Linked DNA regions of Nothobranchius furzeri. The protein of the gene in region 3 interacts with the protein of the main gene of each other region in a pairwise test. Links are inferred from orthologs where the notes say so. Each region holds a gene or a part of one and is shown on either strand. Other genes may lie near its edges.

What was found.
Region 1: the proteins of ap1b1 (region 3) and ap1g1 interact in a two-hybrid assay, tested with the Homo sapiens proteins (2 studies listed by BioGRID, with this or other methods). The link is inferred for Nothobranchius furzeri from reciprocal best matches to the Homo sapiens genes AP1B1 and AP1G1.
Region 2: the proteins of ap1b1 (region 3) and kif13a interact in binary tests that used the Homo sapiens proteins (3 or more experiments, as listed by UniProt). The link is inferred for Nothobranchius furzeri from reciprocal best matches to the Homo sapiens genes AP1B1 and KIF13A.

The regions. Positions count from the first base shown.
Region 1 is NC_091749.1:59,372,738-59,380,785, forward strand, and holds part of ap1g1 (AP-1 complex subunit gamma-1), read right to left. Parts: intron 3,556-8,048; 5' UTR 3,553-3,555; coding exon 3,352-3,552; intron 3,267-3,351; coding exon 3,142-3,266; intron 2,901-3,141; coding exon 2,759-2,900; intron 2,603-2,758; coding exon 2,506-2,602; intron 1-2,505. UniProt on the Homo sapiens protein: Subunit of clathrin-associated adaptor protein complex 1 that plays a role in protein sorting in the late-Golgi/trans-Golgi network (TGN) and/or endosomes.
Region 2 is NC_091745.1:82,811,156-82,818,520, reverse strand, and holds the end of kif13a (kinesin-like protein KIF13A), read right to left. Parts: intron 4,637-7,365; coding exon 4,503-4,636; 3' UTR 3,031-4,502; downstream 1-3,030. UniProt on the Homo sapiens protein: Plus end-directed microtubule-dependent motor protein involved in intracellular transport and regulating various processes such as mannose-6-phosphate receptor (M6PR) transport to the plasma membrane, endosomal sorting during melanosome biogenesis and cytokinesis.
Region 3 is NC_091757.1:46,119,386-46,127,433, forward strand, and holds part of ap1b1 (AP-1 complex subunit beta-1), read left to right. Parts: intron 1-1,000; coding exon 1,001-1,099; intron 1,100-1,597; coding exon 1,598-1,857; intron 1,858-2,091; coding exon 2,092-2,299; intron 2,300-2,446; coding exon 2,447-2,467; intron 2,468-4,555; coding exon 4,556-4,585; intron 4,586-4,662; coding exon 4,663-4,800; intron 4,801-4,875; coding exon 4,876-5,021; intron 5,022-6,862; coding exon 6,863-6,992; intron 6,993-8,048. UniProt on the Homo sapiens protein: Subunit of clathrin-associated adaptor protein complex 1 that plays a role in protein sorting in the late-Golgi/trans-Golgi network (TGN) and/or endosomes.

The DNA.
Region 1 (8,048 bases), on a different chromosome or scaffold from region 3:
TTTGATTAAACACAGAGGCCAATAAATCCACAACACATGCATGCAATCAGATTAAGATTATTTTAATCCCCTCCCTGTGACCTGATCTCAGTGTCAGATTAATAGTCTGATATAAGGGACAAAAGTGAAATGTGCTGATGAGAGCACACAGTTGTTAACAAATTATAAAAATAACATTAAAAAAATCATCTTTGACACAAAGCCTTGCTTTCTTCTGGAGTATTTCTCTTATCCAATGGCACCATCTAGTGGCTGACAAGCGTATAACACAAAAACGCTGTTCTGTTTTTTTTAAGATGGCGACTTCACGTTTCTGTTTATAAATGTGCTTCTGTAGCCGACAAACAGAGCTAAAACACGTTGATTTACGAGTATTATTCTCATGTCATGTTGTGTTTTCATATATTTATATTTTAGAGACTTTCTTGTCCGTGAAAAGTTCATAAACTCTGCATCAGCCGAGGTATTCCTTAAATTTCAGGTGTCTAAGTGGCAGTCTAATGCTGGTGGTTAGTTCTGGTTGGCGCTCAGTTTCCTATTGCACGGAGGTCTACCGGGCAGGGGGCGCGCTTAGCAAAAAAAAAAAAGAAAAAGATGTATTGCTTATATTATATCACAGAACATGATAAGATAATCACTTTTACGGATTTCTGACAAATCATACATAATTTCTGAAAGAGGAAAACTCAGGAAAGCAGCTTTAATCTAATTGGCAGTTACCATGTTTCACAGGGACGACTATTACTGTTGAACAGTGGGGTTATGTCATTTCAGGTATGACTAAACACAGTCTGGGCAATCAAGCTTTCGTATTTATTATATCCCATATAACGGTTTATGTCTTGTTGTATAGAAACCACGACAGCGGTAAAACTAAACCTAGCAGCAACACATGAATACGAGACCTACCACACGAGCTCGTTTCTGAGGAATTTTATAATTTTTGACAAAATATATATTTACACAAATAAAAAAGCTAAACAAAAACACGAGTTCATTTTTAATTACCATATTTAAATGTATTAGTGCAATTCTCTCCCATTTTGTCCGCCATTACTATGAGATCAGAAATCTCCCGTTTTGCTTGCTATGAATCCTGGGACAGCCTTTGGCAGTGAGGATGCACCAGACCCGTCTTTCAAATTTGGGGACAATGAGAATGCATTTGAGGACACGTGTCGAGTATCCTTCAAATTTTAACAACCTTGTTGCGTTGCTGTGACGTTAAATGCAATCTCGGAAGGATGGAGCTCTTGAATTTGGACACAGCCTTTATGTTTAGACGGTCTGATTTGATGGGGTACAAGTAAGAGTGAACAAAAAACAAAAGTCAAACTATTAAAGCAGAAAATGTCATTGACTCAGCCGCAACTTGGCAAAAATCATTAAATCTATAGCCTAGAAATCTAGACGTACAGTAGCCATGCTCCATAGATGCCTCAGCAGTCTGCTGGCTGGCCAATCACAGCATTCTGTCGGTTTGGTGGGCGGCATGATGCGACGGCTCGTTTAAAATGGCTTTGGTATCACCTTTGGACCATTTAGACTTGTGCTTTTCACTGAGTCAAGAGCAGATGGAGGTACTTAAGTCCTTTATTCAGAAAAAGGATGTTTTTGCATTTTATTTGATGGTGTATGGTGGACTGCCACGTTGACTAGCATCTGTGGTGGGGAGTACGTCACTTTGTTCATTGTCCAATAGCGTGCAGAGACTGTTTGAAAGACAACCGTAGATTCTGCCCCTAAACTGAACTTTCATATGGTGTCATGGCCAGACTATTTATTCACATATATAGGATATCCTGCAAGGCTATTAAATCAATGCTTCTACACAAATAAAAGACGATTAAGTGTTTCAAAGAAAACAGTGTGATTACCGGGGCCATCTCCTTTAGTGAACAATTTCTGCCAAGAACTTCTCTTTAATAGTTAAAGTGCAGAAAAACTGCACACAGATATTTAAAGTTTAAAATTCCCTAATTGTAACAAAAATCAAAGAAGAAATTCTACGATGTAGGTAAAAGTGAGATTTTGTCACATTGTGGGTAAAAAATGTTTGCAATGCTTGCATCTGCAAGTTTATAGCTATTTTTGGCAGTGCCTGATATAAAAGCTCATTTTAGAGCCACTCTATTCCTGTCTTCCATTTATGCACAGTGTGTAGTGAAGGACAGATAATGATTTACAGAGCGCAAACAGGAATGCATCATTAAACTTAAAAAAAAATCTCTGCAGCATCAGCAAAAGACGCAAAAGAATATGTTATTTATGAAAATCCTTCAGTTTGGCTTATGCCCCACATGGCTGTGCAGCACAAACCCAAGAGTGGATGACAGGCTCATTAGTTCCACTGTCTTCTGCAAAGGATGCAACAAAAGGAGCATCAGCTCCCCAGCTGTTCCCAATAAAACGCCACGAGTAGCAGGAAAGAGTGTGAAGCGCCTGCAACCACACACCCCCCACCCCAAAGAAACAACTGCATCCTGACAAATCGTTTTCACTTACCGTGGTTCTTCTCGCTCAGCAGGTTTTTTGTGGCTGGGAGGAACATTTCCATGAGTTCTGGGACCTTCCTGATGACATGAACTGCGCACAATGCTGCCTGTCAACAGATGTATAAATAAAGCTTGATTCAACGCTAAACACGTTTTTGGTGTTTAACTACAGCCGTTTCCGTTCACCTGCAAGCTAATCCCAAGTATTCAGCGAGTAAAAACAAAGATATCTAGAGTATTTATATTCAGACAGTGATGCTTACCTTTTTCCTCAAGTACGAGTTGGATGTTTTGAGCAGCTTTTCTACTTCTCCTGCCAGATCGCGGCACATTTCTGAGGATCCCATGCATCCTAAAGTGCACAAAGCCAGGCCTTGGACGTATTGTGTGCTGTGATTCAAATCGCTGGAGTGGAAGAACAATGGTCGAATGAGTCTCAGAAAAGCATTAGTACACAAAAGAATCAACCACGAATGTTCAAATCTAGACAAAAAATGACTTGTTTCTTAAATAAAACACAGAACGTTATGTTCACGGTTAAGTAGCAGACCAGGAAAGATTAAAGGATGAACAGATAAATTGTCTCATCAAGCACGACTGAGCTACAACTTATAGTGGCTGACTCATTACAATGACCTCCACTTACTTTTTAATGCAATTTGTCATTAGTAGATGCACATCCTGTCTCTCATCCAACAGCAGCATAGCGCCCAAATAACCTATTCGTTTGTCAGTGAACTTCTGGGATGCAATCAGCTTCAGACACTCCAGCTAAAACACAAAAAATATATAAACTCTTCAACAACATCAGTTATTTGACTTTAGTCCTTTTAATAATCCTCATTCACAACCATACCTGCCCAAAGTGTGCAGGGTAGCCCAACATGTGCATATAGAGTAGCTTTGCCACATTTCTGCAACGGTATGTATTGTCTTCCTCTCTAAAGGACGAGCGGATAGCAGCACACTCTTTCTGGATCATCTCGCGCTCCTCTGCCTGGGTCCGTGCTGTCCGGATGGTCCGGATCAGCTCCCGCAGTCTGATCGGGGCTGGCATTGTCTGCAAAACAGTGTCACAGAGGGGGAAAATACAGGTCAGAACCTAATGGCACAAACTTAAATCAAACAAAAACAAAAGGTTGTCCTACTAGGGAGAGGCAAATAAGAGCAGCCGGGAGAAATTCAATTCCCCTAAAAGAGGAGCTTCTGAGAGCACACCAGCAACAGGGTTAAATATTTATGACAGCTATATGCTTAGATGGGAAAAACATTCTGTGTTTATTTGCATATTATAATACGCATTAATTTAAAAGCATCAAATGCAAAAAAAAAATGTGTGATTTTTTTCAGTCAGGACAATAAACAAAAGTGGGAAAAGTAGTGTTCTCATTTAAAAAATTCCTCTCTGAATCATAAGTCAACAAATACAAAAACAATTACGTTTATATGCAGTCAGTATTTGGGTTTCTGAAAACTTCGGAATAACCCATTTACATGCACAAGTAAAGAGAGTTGCCCCTGTATACATGGGACTTCTAATATCCTGATTACATAGCTTGGGCATAATCAAATGCCTCTATAGGCTCTTTCAGAGCTGGAGAGGATTTGAGATTCTGGACTTTTGCCTCAGACAGGCTCATGGATGTGTCGCCACATTGGAGACAGGAACAAGCGCTATTCAGCCTAAGTTTCATAATCAGGGAACATTTTCTAAGCGACAAGTCTCTGTGAGAGACAGGGTTTGGAAAACACGTGCTTCAGTGAGAGGAATCTTCCTGCATGCGCTCTGGTTCTTCTGCAGCCTGTAACCAACGCACTCCGAGCCCCTCTCCACATCTTCAGCTCGCTGTCCACCTTACATGCCCGCTGAACTGTGAAGTGTCCAGTATAATGCTCAGATGGTAATCTTTTCTTGATTGATTTAGCTATCTCCGCAATGTGCGTAATAATTAAAATGTCAGCGCATCTGCAGGAGGTTTCTCCGTCAAAATAAACGGTGTAAAACAGGAAATATCAAATTGATGCTAACCCTGCCATTTAACCGTTTTGCCTTCTTGTGAAGATAGTTGCAAAGACGAACACCAGAGCCATGCGCACTGTACCGTTATCTCCATCACTGTAATTGAGGCGGAAAAAAGAATTGATCAGATCCTTTTCTTACCTTTTCAAGTGTTTAATGTAATGTTTCGTCCTGTACAACGTTTAATTGCAACAATCCAGCGAGACAGAGCCTGGATTTGTATTCTGAACAGTTTAAACATGTTTTAAAAGGAGGCATGTGTGACGCATTAAAAGAAAAAAAATAATCGGCATTTGCTCAGGCCCGGTAGGCCCACCCACAACGCCGCGGCTGCTGAGGCTCCCAGAGTTTTCTTGGGAGACAGGTAATAACGGCTCTTTGATTGGAAAAGGTTATCAACCCCTGATCTACTCAAAAGACCAAGAGTCTTTGCGAATAGAACATGCGCAGAGTGCACATTTTAACGGGTTATCCCGATACGAGTTTACGTGACCTGATATTCAGGTTAGAAAAGGGTTACCCCAGGGGTAATAGCCCGGTTTTTAAAAACCCAGTTATGAGCATAACCGTGCCGGTGTTTACATGGCCTTGCCGAACCAGGTTATTGCAAATAACTGGGTTTTGAACGGGTTACTGGCTGCATGTAAACACAGTCAATATCCTAAATTGTATTGGCTCCAAAGTAGGGATGCAACGATACCACTTTTTTCCAAACCGATACGATACGATACTTGGATCTGAATACTCGCCGATACCGATTACTGATATCTATACTTCTACCACACAAAAAAATGCAATGATTTGGAATACAGATTTTATTTTCTTCTCTGCTTTCAACAGGAAAAGACTGAGATTAGGGTTGTCACGGTAACCGGTATAGCGGTAAACCCCGGTAAAAAAGTTGACAATAAAAATAACCGTCCAGTTTTTAAAAAACTATATTATCTCGGTGGGTTTACCGTGGCCGCGGTTTCGGCGCGATGACCCTTACCAGCCACCGTCGCTTCAGCTGAAGTTCCCGCTGCGCGCACACGCACTTTTTAATTTGCAACGGCACCAAAACTTTGAAGCTGAAATAATGGCCGAAGGAGGCGACGGCAGCGCCCAGGACATCCATCAGCCCTCAAAGAAGACTAAATCGGAAGTATGGGCATATTTGGGATTTCTGAAAAATGCTGAGGGACAGTTAATAGAAGACGGCTATCCCGTTTGCAGAACGTGCAGGAAACAAGTGTCTGCAGAAGGCAGCAACACTTCGAATCTAATGGCACATCTGCGTGACGATCACCCACGTCTCCACAGCCAGTGCAAGGTAAGTTAACATTAGCATTTTAGCTGAAATGCATGACGTGAGGACTTTTGGTTGAGGGAGAATGCAACGAGTCACTACATACTGCAGCCGCAGCGTCCTCTGCCAGCATTTAAACCGTGTCACGGACACCCTGTTGCTGGATGAAGCATCTTATTTGTTGATGATGAAGAGAAATATACAATTAGTTCCTTGTCATGGATTTGTTTACTTATTCAATGCCATTTATACTTGAACATTTGGATTTGATTACATAGTGTAGTAGTTATTTTAGTAATTTGTTTAAAGTGGCTATTTATTTTAAATACATATTTTTTAAGGTTGACTTGTACAGTGCTCAAGTCAAGTGTGGACTGGAGTTTTAATTTTCATTTTGATAATGAAGAAAACAAGTATATGAGAAAACAAGTGGTGTTTCTTTGATTTGTTTACATATTGTTTATGTTTTGAATGTTTGGATTTGTATAATTTAAACCTGCACTGACTACTGTAACAAGTTCCAGAAAAATAAGCTATTTGTTCCTTTACTTGTGAAAAGTTGCACTTTTGCTAAGGCTTTGTGTTATTTTAGGTTTAATAAACACTGTTAAACCTTTTCAGAACTATTTCAGTTTGTGTAGAACAGGACTATCAATGCTTTCTGAACATATGCAACACCGTTTAAAAAATACCGCGATAATACCGAAAACCGTGATAATTTTGGTCACAATAACCGTGAGGTTAAATTTTCATACCGTGACAACCCTATGTGAGATAGATAAAAAGTTAAATATATGAATAGAAATATTAGGTGAACAGAAATGACAAGTTACAGTGAAGCCATTTTCAAGCAACTGCATTGGTATCGGTTAACTTTTACCGATATCGTATCGGTATCTGCACCGATACCGATACGGGCATCCCTACTCCAAAGTCAAAGACAAACACAATTATGATTGCTAGTTGGTTCAAACTGATTCAAAGGCAACCAGCATCTGCAGATGTAACAACTTTACCAAAACGGCATCAAACAAAGACACAAAGAGTCTGTTTCCAGATGCTCTTTGATGCTGCCTTCACTCGTCAACAAGTAAGTGAAGCAGCAGCAGAATTTGAGCTGGAGGAAGTTAAGAAGACACAGCTACAGTGCCATTACAGGGCATAAATCAGAGAAATGCATCTTTTAATGGATTACTTTGCAGCAATTATGTTCCAACAAATAAAAAATTATGTCTAAACTTCAGCAGGTCTTTAAAATAATTTACAGAACAGATCTCCATTCCAGTATTTTATCTTAACACCCCACTAGAAGGCCAACCGAGTGTACATGTCTGCAAAAGGACATTAACTGATATTGACAAGCTACGCTTTCCTCTCCTACTTTTGATATGAACCCATAGGTGTTTTAAAGGGGCCAGACTGTATATTCACACACATTGCGTGGAATAGGCAAGTAACTCACAATTATACGTGAAACTGTTAAATACATTTTAAAGTAGTCAGATCATGCCATTTTAAACCTTTGAGAGCAAAGGTAAGCACAGTATATGGCAAAGTTTTACCGTTGGCACTACTGAGATGTCATTTTATCTTAAATATGGGTTATTTTCATCAGCCTGTCTTTGTACCCGGAAATGAAATGGTCAGTTTCAATCAACCCCACCTCCACTGGCCTGAGCTGCACCCATTCATGACGTCACCCACAAAGCATCACGGGCCATGAAAAAGAAGAAGAAAATATCATTTCTATAGCGCCTCTCAAGATAAAAATCACGAGGCGCTTCACAAAAATAAAAAATGTAAAAATATAAAAAAAGCATTTAGAAAATGGTTAAAAATATATTTAAAATGAGCACAAATAGACAATTGTGATTAAAAAAATGTTAAGAAAGAGAGAGAGTGAACAGGAAAGAGGGAAATCAGTGGATCCTGAGGAAGGTGGAATAGGTGGGGAGAGCAGAATAAAGAGAGAGTGGTGAAGAAGGTCATACAAAAGCCAGCTTGAAAAAGTGTCTTCAGCTGCTTTTTGAAGGAGACCACTGAGTCCACTGATCAGGCTCTATAGACCAGAACCAGGATCTTAAAATGAACCCTGAAGTTGACTGGCAGCCAGTGAAGCTGGAGGAGAAGCGGGGTGATGTGGGTGTGTTTGGAGGACTTGGTCAGAAGTCGAGCACAGGCATTCTGAACCACCTGTAGACGGTTCAGGGAGGTTCTGCTCAGACACGTGAAAAGAGAGTTACAG
Region 2 (7,365 bases), on a different chromosome or scaffold from region 3:
TACTTGTACTTGAGTACAGATTTTCAGAATTCTTTCCACCACTGCTGAAAACTGTAAATGCTCATTGTAACATGTTAATTAAAATGCTAAAGCAACAGACGTGACATGAAGATTGTATTGTTTGTTTTATGCAACATCAGGAGCCCTACGCAGATATTTTGGGATGACATCAGCTGCCACTGAGGAACAGCCAACTACCTCCACTGCTCATAGGCCAGTATTTGAACTCGAGGAGGGAGAGTCTGCTGGCACCACATCTCCCCAGGAAGATACTTTAGGTGGGTTTTGCACACGTGTGTGTGTATGTCCAGCAAACATTTAGCTATAGACATTTAAATAGTATTTTCACAGAATATGGCAATTGTTCCATATAGCAATGTGGTGAGTTATGCTTCCATTTTCTGTCAATAGAGAGACCTACCAGTATATGTGAACTTGATGAGGGACAGCCAGCTGCCACGTCTCCCCAACAAGATACGTCAGGTAAGTTTTGCACAAGTGTGTGTGTGTGTGTCCTGCAAACATTAGAGAAATTTGAATGTCACATATTGCATTTGAATAGAATATGTGAAATGGTCCACATAGCAATGTGTTGAGTTACGCTTCTGTTTTCTGTCAATAGAGAAGCCTGAACGATCAACCAATGAGTCCCACTGAAGGTGATGATGAGCCTCTTTCTTCAGACCCAGCCAAGTGGTCCTCACCAATTACCGACAGCATACGCACAGAGCTAGTTCGAAGAGAACCTACCAAGGTGCCAACTACTTTCATATTTCCCAGGAATGAAGGCGATGGCAGGTGTTGTCATCATCACTATTTCAGTAGAACTTTGACAAGTGGTGAGAAGGTGGCCAGGAGCTGGATGTTGTATTCAGTTAGCAAACTTTGTTATATATAATACACTCCACGCAATTTGAAACAAAGTTGTAGGTGTAATTTTTTTTCTTGTGTGTGTGTGTGTGTGTGTGTGGGGGGGGGGGTTACGGGGGATCTCGCACAGGGCGCCATTTAGGCCAGCTCCGCCTCTGCCTGTCCAAACGGAGGTGATGAGCGCTGCCCCATGCGGCTGCACGCACTGAAGTGAGGAGAGTCCCAACCCTACCTCCCCACCTAGTGGACACTTATGTTGTGTAATGTCTGAAGTTTGTTGCATATCTGTCTGAGGTTTTTTGCATAGCAAAGCTACCCTCCCTGTTGAGGGTAACTCTGAAGTGACTTTTCTTCCCCTCCCCCTGACTCTATCCTCATATAAACCCTCTTGATCTATAACAGCAGCGCGACTCGGGTTGCGAATGACCACAGTCACCAATTCTTGTCATGTGTCTATGTATGTATGTCTGACCTCAGAATTGTGTGTACTGAAACTCTAATTTCCCTCTGAGATTAAAAAAGTATCTTTGAATTTGAATTGAATAACACCTTATAGATCATTTTGGGGGTGCAGGACAGTAGTCAGTCAGCTGGTCTTAGGGAACGCACCGGTACATGTGGTGTAAGGAGTTCTGACAGATACAGGGGTGCTAGGCCATGTAACCCTAACCCCGGCTTTCCACAGGAGCCGTCAGCAGCACGTTACTGCAGCAGCACGTCATAGCTGCTGATAGGAACCGCTGTGGTCAACAGAACCTTTTCCACTGGAGCCGTCGGCAGCCGTCAGCAGCGCGAGTCGGCTGCGTCTCAGGAGCAGCATGTTGCGGCCTTCACGCGCCGGTTCTATTTTCTACGCGCGACGCCTCTGAAACGGGTCAAGTTCGACATTTTTGGGGAAGGAAAGACAGGAAATCGGATGCGGAAATGGAGAGAAGCTACCGAGATTTTCAGAATAAAGAACGTACTGCCTTCCGGTTGCTTTACTTTTAAAAAAGGTTACTAACTGTGCGTCCCCGTGAGAAGTTATCACCTAGCTAGCGGTCTCCTTTGTTTTTCAGGTCTGTATTGGCGATTATAAAACAGACAGAACATAAAACACAAACCATGTTGTAATTTTCTCCTGCTTGTTGTTGTGTTTACTGACGAAGTCACTCGTGTGACTTCGTGCTCGGTCGGTGACTGCTGCTCCCCTGCTGCTTCATGTCTCGTGGGAAGGGCCAAGCAGCAGCTTACGCGAGCAAGACGTGCTGCTGCAGTAACGTGCTGCTGACGGCTCCCGTGGAAACCCGGGGTAAGTCACAGGCAGCCATGACGGCGTCACTAATGGTGTTTTATTCTAATAACAAAGAGAGAAGTCTATTGAAATACTTTCTTCAGGTTTCCACGACTGGGGGGGGGGGGGGGGAGTGCCAGGATGCTGCGTAAGATTACGCATGGATGTTTGTTCAGTCATTAAGTATTAAGAAGGATAATTTGTGTATTGAGAGGGAATACCATTGTGACAATAACAAACCCCGTTAAGACCTTTTAAAATCTTAAAACATTACAGCTGCAACATCACCGCTACTGGCTGCAGTTCATGATCAGCAGCTAAAAATGTATTTATTAATTTGGTTTAACGTGTAAATCAAATCAAAACTCTCAACAAAGTTGATGATTATTTATAGACACAAACCATCCTCCTCTCCACGCAGGAAGACTTCAACTACTCTGTCATAAAGCTTTTCAGTTCCATCAGTAAGTCCTTTTCTTTGGCCATTTTAATATTTCCCATCTTTATCCTATTGTCTGGAGCAACTACTCTTCTAGATAAAATTTCCTTTGGGATTATTAAAGTATTCTGATTCTGATGGAGGTCATGGCTGGGTCGCCTCTGGCTGAAATACAAACTAGCGACAGGGTTGGACGGACTCTCGTAAAAACGATCAGCTTCACTGAAAAAGTCCGTCTTGATAACAGAACTGAAGTAATCCCTGAGACCAAATCAGTTTCTTCTTCTCCGTTAGCCATACAGCTAGTCTGCTATCTGTTGACTAGTGATGGTGATGTTGGTGAATGGCTGACGAGTTTTACTCACGATACACTTGGGAGACGGTTTTGGAGATCCACTTGTAAACTAGCAGGTCATAAAGCTACATGTGAGAGTAAAAATAAAACCAGTCAAGCAGCTCAACATTTTATTCAGTATTTTACAACCACTACATCACTAAAGTCAGTCAGCCTTGTAACATTTTTAGCAGCCATGGCTCAATCCTGACTGGGACAGCCTAGACACATCTGCAGGAGAGGAATTACTAAGAATGGAGCTCATTCTCCTCTGAACACAAGTTACGGAAGTTATTGTCTTCTCCAGCAACCATTGTTTGAGTTAGAGGCGCCGTTCCCTCTCGTCCCTCCCAGGCCCAGTCTCTAAATTATTAATCAAATCTTACGTGCCAAACGGTATCTTTTAATTTAAACAACTTCCACTTAAAACATTTTGGATCGTTTGAAGTGGGTTTTTGGATAGAGGTCTTACCTGTTGTAGATAGCAACATAAGTTTGGATAAAACAAACATTCTCACCGAATTCATGATGGAACATCTAGCTTGAGCTGGGTTAAGTCCAAAAAGGAATACTGGCATCTGAATACAGCTTGGAGTTGTACAAATTAACTTCTCCAAACTAAGGTCACTCAAAGTGCTACCTACAATAGATGAAGTGTTTATTGTTCAAGAATTTTCCATAGAAAACCACTTCAGAAGCTCTGCAGCGTTATCTTAACATAACCATATCTGATTATCAGTCCAACAGCAAGGCAGGATAGTGCTCTGAATACACTGAGCTTCATGATCCACATGTTTCAGACAGTTACACACTCACTGTACAGTATGGGGTCTATGTGCCTCTTTAAATGCAAATAAAACAGATAAAATTTTCTTCAACTGATTTGAGGAACGACACATCATTGTCCAGTTTTCATCAGCCTACTACAGAAAACAGTCCTCTTCAAGAACCCTTTCCACCGCAATCGTTTCCCATCTAGGCTGAACGGGTACATCAACATAACATAACACTACAAACACCTAAAACAGCCCTCAGGATTGGCTGGTTTGTCCTGATTATGGGTTATGTGGCATTACCTCTGGAGATATGGCACTAAGTTCTACTAGGATGCATCAATTTACAGTGAAAATTTCCATTTATGTGTATTAAAAAATAGCAGTCGTAACAGCAGATATGGAACTGTAACTCTTTGGTTAACCCTGATATATCATACTGACGTACATATATATCAATGTTTATTAACAGTAGTACATTCTTGTTCCTCAAACCCCAGATCACTTCATTACAGGCCTCAGAGAGAGAGGGAGGGATGAACGGTTCTACAAAAATACTATATGTACTTCAGAACCAATGTAAGAAAATGTCAATGAAATTTCATTCCCAGTCAAAAGTTTAGAAAAATACAACCACACAGGAAACTCAGATATGTGCATAGGGATTTTTTTCAGTGAACATCAACTACAAAATACTTCGATTAAAAGCACAAGTAAAATAAGCATCAGCAAAGCGACCAAACCAACAGAAACAATCAGCTCAAAGATTCAAGTGGTCAGAAATTAGATCAGAAAACCAGTTCTTCTTTGGGTCTATCTGACCACAGTCTGCGGTTCTGCGTCCGTGGAAGGGGGTCCTCTGCTGAGCCGTGATGGCTTCACGAACACACCGTGACCTGGGGGGCAGCGGAAGTACACTCTTCCCTGGACAGTCCCATTGTGCTTACCTAAAAGGGACAAGTAAAAGACATTTGTTTTGTTTTCCTGTCATTTATAGTCTCATTTGTAACATATAAAATATATCCAGATTGCAAAACTGTAAAACCACTCTTGTTTGTAGTTTTAAATCGTCCACCAGGCCCTTACTCAGAGTTTTTGGATCAGATCTCTGATTTTTTTATCTGATTTGGTGCTAAATACTGATAAGGTCATTGTAGTGGGGGATTTCAACATTCATGTGGACATCGAAAATGATTGCCTCAATGTAGCCTTTAGTAATATCTTAGACTCAATTGGTTTTACTCAAAGAATACATAGCTCCACCCACTCCTGCCATCATACATTGGACCTTGTGCTGACTTATGGCATAGAGTGTGAGGAAATAACAATCTTTCCACATAATCCAGTCCTCTCGGACCACTTTCTGATAACCTTTGAGTTTTTTATAACTGAGTTCTCGAGACATGAAAGTAAATTTCACTATAGTCGGTCTCTATCTGACAACGCTGTTGCATCTTTTAAATCAACTGTTCCATCTTTACTGTCCTCAGCATCTCAGAGGAACGTAGCAGAGGGCAATATTTTCAGTTCTAGCCCCTCACAAATTGATGCCTTAGTTCATCATGTTAATTCCTCTTTACGTGTGGCATTAGATGATGTTGCCCCTTTAAAAAAGAAGGTAATTAGGGACAGGAAGTTGGCTCCCTGGTTTAACTCTCATTTACGAGCCTTAAAACAAAACTCTAGGAAATTGGAGAGAACATGGCGCTCTACGTACCATGAGGAGGCCTACCTACCCTGGAAAAATAGTCTTGTGCTTTATAGAAATAAGCTTCAACAAACTAGAACTGCTTATTTTTCAGCATTAATTGAGGAGAATAAGCATAATCCTAAATTTCTTTTCAGTACAGTTGCTAAACTTACACAGAATCATAGCTCTGAGCCATCTATTCCCTTAGCCCTCAGCAGCAATGACTTCATGGGATTTTTTACAAGTAAAATTAATTCTATTAGAAACAAAATCTTTAGCATCCTCCCTAATGCGATTTCTTCTTCCTCAGTGAGGCAGCTTCAGAGGTGACTGTAGAACCTCATCTGTGCTTGAACTGTTTTGATCCAGTTGAGCTTTCAGAGTTATCAAAAATATTAGCTTCATCTAAACCTTCAACTTGCATTTTGGATCCAATCCCAACCAAATTATTTAAAGATGCATTTCCTTTGGTTACTGCCCCCATTCTAGATACAATCAATCTATCCTTAGTAAATGGATATGTACCACAAGATTTTAAGGTTGCTGTAATCAAACCTTCACTTAAGAAGCCTTCTCTGGATCCAGATGACCCAATGAATTATAGACCAATATCTAACCTTCCATTTTTATCCAAAGTCCTGGAGAAAATAGTGGCCATCCAAGTATGTCAGCATTTAAACACTAATGCTCTGTTTGAGGAATTTCAGTCTGGTTTCAGAGAGTATCACAGCACTGAAACTGCATTAGTGAGAGTTACAAATGATATTCTCATGGCCTCAGATAAGAATCTTGTGTCTGTTCTAGTCTTGTTAGATCTCAGTGCTGCCTTTGACACAGTTGATCACAATGTTCTTGTAGAAAGACTTGAACATGTTGTAGGGATCAAAGAAACAGCGTTAGGCTGGTTTAAATCCTACCTGTCTGACAGATTTCATTTAGTAAACGTACATGACAAATCGTCTTCATACTCCAGGGTTACTTGGGGAGTACCACAGGGTTCAGTGCTTGGACCAATTCTTTTTACTATATATATGCTCCCAATTGGTAAAATCATTAGACAGCATGGGATAAACTTCCACTGTTATGCTGACGATACTCACTTATATTTATCCATTAACCCTGATGAACCTAATCGGTTGGGTAGATTACAGGCTTGTCTTGAGGACATAAAAAATTGGATGACTCTAAACTTTTTGCTTTTAAATCAAGACAAGATGGAAGTTCTCATCTTTGGACCCGAAATCCAGAAAAGGAAATTGCTTAGCCAATCACCTGACCTGAATGGCATTACATTAATCTCCGCGAACAAAGCAAGGAACCTTGGTGTTATCTTTGACCAGGACATGTCATTCAAATCCCAGGTTTCACAAGTTTGTAGGATTTCTTTTTTCCACCTTCGGAATATTGCTAAGATTAGAAGCATACTTTCCAGGAGTGATGCTGAAAAACTAGTCCATGCATTTATTACATCAAGACTGGATTACTGTAATTCATTACTCTCAGGAAGTCCACAGAATGTAGTTAAAAGTCTTCAGCTTGTCCAAAATGATGCAGCTAGAGTTCTGATGAGAATTAAAAAGAGAGATCATATCTCTCCTGTCTTAGCTTCCCTACATTGGCTACCTGTTAAATTCAGAATAGATTTTAAGATCCTTCTTCTCACATATAAAGCTCTTAATAATCAAGCTCCATCATACATTAGGAATCTGATTGTTCCATATGTTCCTAACCGAGCACTTCGCTCTCAGACTGCAGGTCTACTGGTGGTTCCAAGAATATCTAAAATTAGGATGGGAGGCAGATCTTTTAGTTATCAGGCTCCTCTCCTGTGGAACCAGCTCCCAGCTTTAGTCCGTGAGGCAGACACTTTGTCTACTTTTAAGAATAGGCTTAAAACATTTTTATTTGATAGGGCCTATGGTTAAAATCTGATGTTAGCCTAAATCTGGACAAGTGGGGGAGTAGAGGGAGGTGGAGTGTACAGTC
Region 3 (8,048 bases):
CTGAGGACAATATTTTCCTGATATACAGGGTTTATTTAGTTGTCTGAAAATGTAACATGTTTACAAAAATACTGCGATAATACCAAAAACCGTGATAATTTTGGTCACAATAACAGTGAGGTTAAATTTTCACACCGTGACAACCCTAGTTGACTTAAAGTTTGGATGCTGTAGATAAAATACAGCAATGCTTAAATGGCTTGAAAGAGAAAAAAAATCCAATGAGTAAATATTCATGTTTAAAAATAATCATTTATAATAACACTTTTTTAGAAATATTCAGTTTAATTCCCCTTTTATGACTCGTTTTTAAAAAACTGTTTCAGTTTGAGTCAAACTTGATTAAAGAGCAACTGTCACCCCATACCAGAGTCCATCTCGACATTCATTTCCTGTTTTAAAAATGCACCACAAGGAGGCGTTGCCTGGCAGACTGGAAGATGGAGCCCATAACAAATACACTAACACACACAGGCTCACAGCGGCATTGTGACATCATATGGGACCTCTTAGCCAATAGATGGCAGATTTAAATTAAAATGTAGTGCAGTGTTTTTACCTGAAGAGGGCAGAACACTGACAGTTTTAGGCAGAATATTTCAATTTTAACCAAGAAGCACCAAAGTGCCAAATTATTGACCAAACATGTCTCCAGTACGACTAGACACCCATTTATATAGCAAAAAACGTTGACTTGGCGGTGACTTGCTCTTTAATGACGCAAGTCACACAAGAGGCATTAAACCCATAAAAGACTGTCCCTGTGAGGTAAATGGCTAATTTATCACGTTATTCCCATGAAAAATAATTGTCCATTCCCTTCTTGTGCAGAAGGAAATCCGTTTTACCAAAAAAATTTTTCTTAAATATGAAAACAGTGTTTAACCGTGTTTAGCCAAGGGGTATTTTTAAAGATCATAACAAAGCTGCATTTACAGTCTTAAACATTATACACATGAGTGGCTGTTGACTTGATTTATTCCTTCATTGTGACCTTTAGGTGCAGTTGCAGTTGTTGACGGCAATCGTCAAGCTGTTCCTGAAAAAGCCTACAGAGACGCAGGAGCTGGTGCAGCAGGTTCTGAGCCTCGCCACACAGGTGGGTGGGGGGGACAAATCTTCTGCTCATAAATGGTTTTATCCGTACACACTAAGCTGTCTGATCTGTCCTTTACACTTTTATTCATTTATTTTGTCATTTGTCTTGATCTGACACAGATAGCCATGACGTCTGTTAGGATTTGAGTTGAAAAGATGGGAGATGGATTTGTTTCTTTTTCTAGTTGATGGATAAAACTGTTTGGTGCTTCAACAAAGTTGGCAGAAAGCTGAAATTTGAGTGAAATCTTCCATCATCGCTCACGAGGACTCTTCTACTCGGACATTTTTTTTTAACCGGCTTTTAAGCTCACTTTCCTTTTGCTGAAACTCCATGAAATGTGTGAATGTTACTTATTTTTTTGTTAACAAAAGTGTGCAGTAGCACGTAGCTTCATGCATTCTCCAAATCCCAGCGCCCCAGTGTCTCAATTCTACACTAAAAAGTCTCGACATCAAGTTTTTATTTAACAGTTCACTGTTAAACGCCTTCCTGCAGGATTCTGATAACCCAGACCTGAGGGACAGAGGCTACATCTACTGGCGTCTGCTGTCCACGGATCCTGTGGCTGCCAAGGAGGTGGTTCTGGCTGAGAAGCCTCTGATCTCCGAGGAGACAGATCTGATTGAGCCTACTCTGCTGGAGGAGCTCATCTGCCACATTGGTACTCTGGCCTCCGTTTACCACAAACCCCCCAGTGCCTTTGTTGAGGGCAGCCGGGGTGTTCAGCACAAGAGGCTCCCGGGCAGTACTGGATTGTGAGTCATACGTGTTTTTATTTTAATTTATTTTTCTTTTCCAGTGCAGGCAGAAAGTTGTGTTTACATATGTGGACTTGTCTGTTTGACTTTGTTTCATTTAAACCTTCTGTGTAGCTGTTCTAGGTGGCTGGATAGTTGTGTAAATGGCTAATCAAATCAAAATGATTGTGCAGTTTGTAAATGTGTGTGTTTTATGAATTAATTTCATTTTTTTTTCCTCATTTCTTCCAGAGGGGAGAGTTTGGAGAGCCCAGACACTGGCTCTGCTGCTGGGGGCTCTGATGCTCCACCTGCTGTGATCCCATCCCAGGGAGACCTCCTCGGTGACCTTCTCAATCTTGATCTGACGCCTCCTGCCACCACTGGGCCACCGCCGCCGCCCACCTCTGGCATGCAGCTGGGAGCCATGGACCTCCTCGGAGGAGGACTGGACAGCCTGGTGTGTTTTCTACACACATCAGTTTGATTAACTCTTCTACCTAAAGCAGCTTTTTAACCAAATAACTGTTATTTATTTTTAATTGACATTCTTTATTTTTTCTTGAACTTGCGTGTTCTTTCTTTGTTTAATATGCTGCTCCTGCAGATGGGGGAGGAGTCTGAGCCGGTAACTACAAGGAGGGATGATCTTTACCAGTCATTTAAGCCCATCCTCTAAATATTCATCTAAAAGAGCCCAGACAGTGCTTTTGTAACAGTGGAGTTATTTTGGGATTCTACTAGAATAGCATCAAGCAAAAGCAGCACGTTTGCCGTTCCCCCCCCCCCCCCCCTTGTCACCTCGTCTCTTAAAAGCTCTTTTTAACAGCCCGGTCTGCTCTAATTGGTCAGTCCACCCAGCCAAAGAGTGTTGTTGATGTAACAATTAAAAGTGGGTCAGAGCCGCCTACAAGCTGTGTACACTCAGAGAATGTTAACAGGGTGGGACGCTACTCTACTCTCGTCGCGTCACTGAAATCACCATGAAAACGGCAGCTGATGAGTCTGTTAGGACCATCTCACTATTTCAGTCCTCCTTTTCCTGTTCCAAGTCTTCTAGATACGATCAGGCGGGGAGGTGATGTGTAAAGGGTGCTATGGAGGTGTTTTGTTTATGCCCTCATATGTAACCCGTTACAAATAACAGTTGTCATTGTTTTTGGTCTTTTATGGTTATCTACTGATAGAACTCGCATAAATTAACATCTTTGAAATACATTTTCGTTATTGTCATTAAATGTTCCAGCTTTTTCCTAATGATCACCGTCTGGTGAAGGGTCAAAACTCCTGACTCTCTTGGGAGTTGTTTTATGTCTCGATGACAATTTTATTTCTGGCACAAATTTAAAAAGTCAGATTATTGGTCATTGGGCCTGAACAATCTTCGTTTTTCAATAGAAACTGCGATTCATTAATTTTTTTAAACGATGTGATCTTGTAATCGTCAAAACAGGTATTTATTTCATAAAAAATTTTTTTGCAGCGATCGTGACTGATCCTGACCTTTTATATAAATATTTTACACATCTAGGGTTATCTCAAGGTTTTAGAAGAGCTACAGCAACAGCAGCGAGCGGCTGTGGAGGTTACGGGACCCTGATGCTTGAGTTTGCAGCGGGATATAGTTTTATTTATTTTTAATTGGTAATTTTCTTTTTCTGTGGCACTTCTACTGTATATATTGGTCATAGCTGTGGTTATCTGTCGCCGTTGCTCATTTAGTGGCCGAGTCTCATTTGCCCGCTTCCTGCAACAGGGGAAAGGGAATTACCAAGAAACTATCTTTGTGGAGTTGAGGTAAATATGGTGTTAGCGCAGCGCTTTTTGTGCTTATTTGAGTAATAACTTTTCATGTGGTGATGGTGTGATGGCATTTCCTGTCATGTTTGTAAATATTACTGTACGTTGTGATTATTGCGTGGAAGTGAATCAATCTGATGAATTTTCACAAAATCATTCAGCCTTACTTGTCGTTACGTTGACGAACTCAAAGCGTCTGTTAAGTGGTGCCTATAAAAACGTGTTCTAAAGACCAGGAGAACGCAACTCCTACAGATTCTCGTAGAGTCTTGCACTCGCACAAGCCCGTGTGATACGATCAGCACAGCGTGGGCTCTTTATTCACTTACCCGTAGTTTCCATACACTATCATCTCATATTGTCGTGACATTTATCATGTTAAGTCTCACTCCATCTCTGTTGTCTTTGGATCGTTCATCTTCTGATCAGCTGCCCATTCCCCTGCGCTCGGACACTCGGTCACCTCAGGTTCCACATCAGTCCTCATCGTCCCCAGATTACAGCCCCACTGAGGTTGGTCCTGGAGGAGCACGCTGGACCAGTAAAGGCCAGCATCAGCCTAGAGCTCAACACCACTTGTCCCTCTGCTGTCCCATGTCCTCTCGGTAGCTTTGTGTTGCTCTGCTTGTTTTCCTGCTCCATCTAGTTAGGGTTCCAGTGTTCCGTCTCTCTTTAGGTTTGATCTTTGTTTTTAGTCTTTAAAACGCTAAAGACAAAGTTATCGAGCTGCATTTGAATGAAACCAATCACTTGGGTTTGTCTGCAGACATCTCCCTACTGTTATTTGTTACAGACCACCCCTCCTCTCATCCTCCTCCACCCCCTCAGAAGATCCTGTAGTTTTAACATCAACTTTTATTCATTTATGATGTTTTGTTCACAATGAGTTTTTCTTTTCCTTTCTCCTCGTGTTCAGCTTGGCGGAGACCTTGGAGGAAGCTCTGCTGTAAGTCGTTTTCTAGTTTTCTTAGGCCTTCATCGCTAATGCAATGCACCATTTCACGTGTTCTCTGTGACCCACAGATGGGAGCTGGTTTTGGTGCTGCTCCAGCCGCATCGCCAGCCTCGTTCAGCGCTCCTGTTAGCGGCGGCCTGGATGACCTGTTTGATCTTGGAGGTGGAGTTGGGATGCCCATGGGAGCCTACAACCCCCCCAAAACGGTGAGTCCATGTGCTGGAATGATTCCCTAAAGGAGTTCATCATGGGTGGCTTTTAAAACCAGCCTCTCTGTTTAGGTTTGGCTCCCAGCCATGAAGGGAAAGGGCCTGGAAATATCCGGCACTTTTGCCCGCCGGGCCGGAATCATCCAAATGGAGATGACCCTGATCAACAAAGCGATGAGCGTCATGACTGATTTTGCCATCCAGTTCAACAGAAACAGGTAGGAAGAGCTTTTATCTTACAGCTATTTTCATTTAAAGGGATACTTTGCAACTTGTTCATATTTTTAAATAATTTTCTTGAGCTAAAATGTGCTAAAATGACCCTTTAATGAAGTGTCACTCAGACCCCCACAGCCCTCTGGCCAGAATACCTCATTTGCAACTTTGGAGTGTCGGTCCGGTCTAGTGGACTTGGAAATGGAATAAAATGAGCTGACATATCTGGCACTACAGTCTGCTTCCAGCACGTTTCCTGCATGTTTTAGATCATGAGCACAGCTGATTTGTTTAATTTAGTGATGAATCACTCCTGTAGACACTAATGAGGGCTGGGAGACGTTTCAGCTGTTGGATTAAAGGGATATTATGGAAGTTTGACAGCCCAAACATGTATAGAAATAATACATTTCTTCTACATGCATTCTACTGCAATGCCCTGGTCCTGTAGAATGAGCCCTGGCATTTTTACTGTGATTGCCTGTTTTTCTGTAAGATCACAGAAAAAGAGAGATGCTCGGGTCGAGCAGGCTGCTTCATGCGCGTTCACGCTCAGGCATCGCCCGTAGCATTTGCTATCAGTAGCTTTAGCAGCAGAGAGTGAGGTAGTGCCACTTTGTCGCTGTTCCTAATGCCTAGTGACAAAGCTAGCTACATTTCTGAGGACGCTTAGCTACTTTCTGTAGAACTTTCTTCTAGATATTTCCTGCAAATTAGCAACAAAATAGCCATTTTCGTTTCGAACCGTTCTTTGGTTTGACGTTGTTTCAGGTGTCGTCAAGGATATAAAAGTTACAGAGAGTGTCAATGCTACTAGAGTGTAGCTCACCTTGTAAGATGTCTGACTCCCATGCAGAAGACCTGGGTCCGATTCTGGATGTGAACATAATTTATTTGGAGTTTCTTTTTTACATTAATGGTATATTTTTTTCCGTAAGATGCCCAAATTTTTATTTGAGACTCGCCGAACGGCATTGAATTCACAGATAAAAAAGATGTGGGTTCAACTTTCGTTTTGGAACAACTTTCCAAGCAAGGGAAGGGAATGATCTGAGCATGCAGGAGGACTGACCCATCATAAACCTTTGTCGGCTGTGCTGAAGAGAAAGGTACAGAACCAAATTATTTAAGCATGAAATTTTAGAGAGAAAGATCATAAATGTTAAGTGCTCGCCTCGCAATCGGAAGGTTGCAGGTTCGAGACCCGCTCAGTCTGTCGCTGTCGTTGTGTCCTTGGGCAAGACACTTAACCCACGTTGCCTGCTGGTGGTGGTCGGAGGGACCGGTGGCGCCAGTGCTCGGCAGCCTCGCCTCTGTCAGTGCGCCCCAGGGCAGCTGTGGCTACATTGTAGCTCATCCCCACCAGTGTGTGAATGTGTGTGTGAATGGGTGAATGACTGATTGTGTTGTAAAGCGCCTTGGGGGGTTCCAGGACTCTAGAAGGCGCTATATCAAATACAGGCCATTTACCATTTTACCATTTAATTAGCTGCGCGTTCTCCTGTCCCCCCCCCCCCCCCCCCCCCCACACACACACACACAGGACTGTCTCAGCTGTCATTTTTGTCAAGGAGTGTGCACGTACAGCATGCACGCCTCGTGCACGAGCCTACTATTGAAGCTGCCGTTACGCTTTTGGCCTGAGGGGGCAATCACGAGCATAAAAATTCAAAAGTCTGTAAAGTCCCTTTAAGGTGTAAAAATGTTGAACGCACAGCAAGGAGATGAGATTTGCTTTTGGTTCTACAAACGGGCACTAGGGGGTGCTAAAAGTGCCAACTGTCTAGTCACCATTTGAAAAACAGATTTTTGACCCTTTTATCCACTTTGTGTTTCTCTGCAGCTTTGGCATCGCTCCAGCTGGACCTCTCCAGGTTCTAACTCCTCTGAGCCCAAACCAGACCATTGAGGTGGCCCTTCCCCTGAATACTGTTGGACCCGTTATGAAGATGGATCCACTCAACAACCTGCAGGTGAATTATCCCCTCTGTGCTTGTGCCGCTTCTTGTACAAATCACTTTAGACGTTTTATGTTTAATCAGTTAATTTAATTTTGACTCCATAGTATCGCGACTTGGATAAATTACCGGATGTCGGTCTAAACCGGAGAAATGATGACTGATAGAGATTTGTTACGCAAGAGTGAGACTGTTGAGTCAGTGTCCTGAAAGTCTGCCAATCTGTAATGCACCTTTGCTCTTATACACCCATGCTGTGCTTAAATATGAAAAAGACAGACTGTTTCAAAAGGTTATTTGAAAAAAAAAAAAAAAAAAACAGCTGGTGTCTGTTTGGTTCTGGTCAGGGTGGTTCCTTTTAACTGGGCAGAATGGTGGACGGCTGCAGCTGTGGAGAGAAGATAAGAGTGAGGAGGGATGATGGAGGTTAGGACAGTCATTAGTCGACACATGGCTCCTTTGTCTAACTAGGCCTCAGTGGTGCTGCTAACCTTTCTACTCTGCTGCCTCCTGGCCCTGTTTTGATGGGACCAGCTGTCTGATTTGACAGGTTCCCAAATATGATTTGTTCTGCCGGTTCCTAGGTTTATCTATCACACGGAGCCATTAAGCCCTTTCATATTTGTTTAAAGAAATGTCAGAACAGTTTTTTTCATAGCTCTTCATCTTGGATAATCAAATCAGCAGGTTTAGGGGACACGATTCGGTGCCCTTGGTTGGCTGTTCAGCTGCCATTAATTCTTCTGCAAGGACACAGCAGATAAAATGCATCACAATTGTTCTGTGCTTACGTAAATGTAAACCCAAAACATCTGGATCTGGCTCATCTCAGATTCATCTTGACATGCCCAATAAATGTGCGTTAAACATCCAATGTGACTAATCAGCACATCATCACCAGCTGAACTGAACCAGTTGATCTCAACTCCTCATCATTTTAATTGGTTTGAAGCATCACAATCAGCTTTCTCGTTAAATGCATGACTGTTGCTGCTGATTAGCATTTATGATCTTTCTCTCTAAAATTTCATGCTTAATCACCATTTAATGATTTCCTTGTGGATTAGCCGG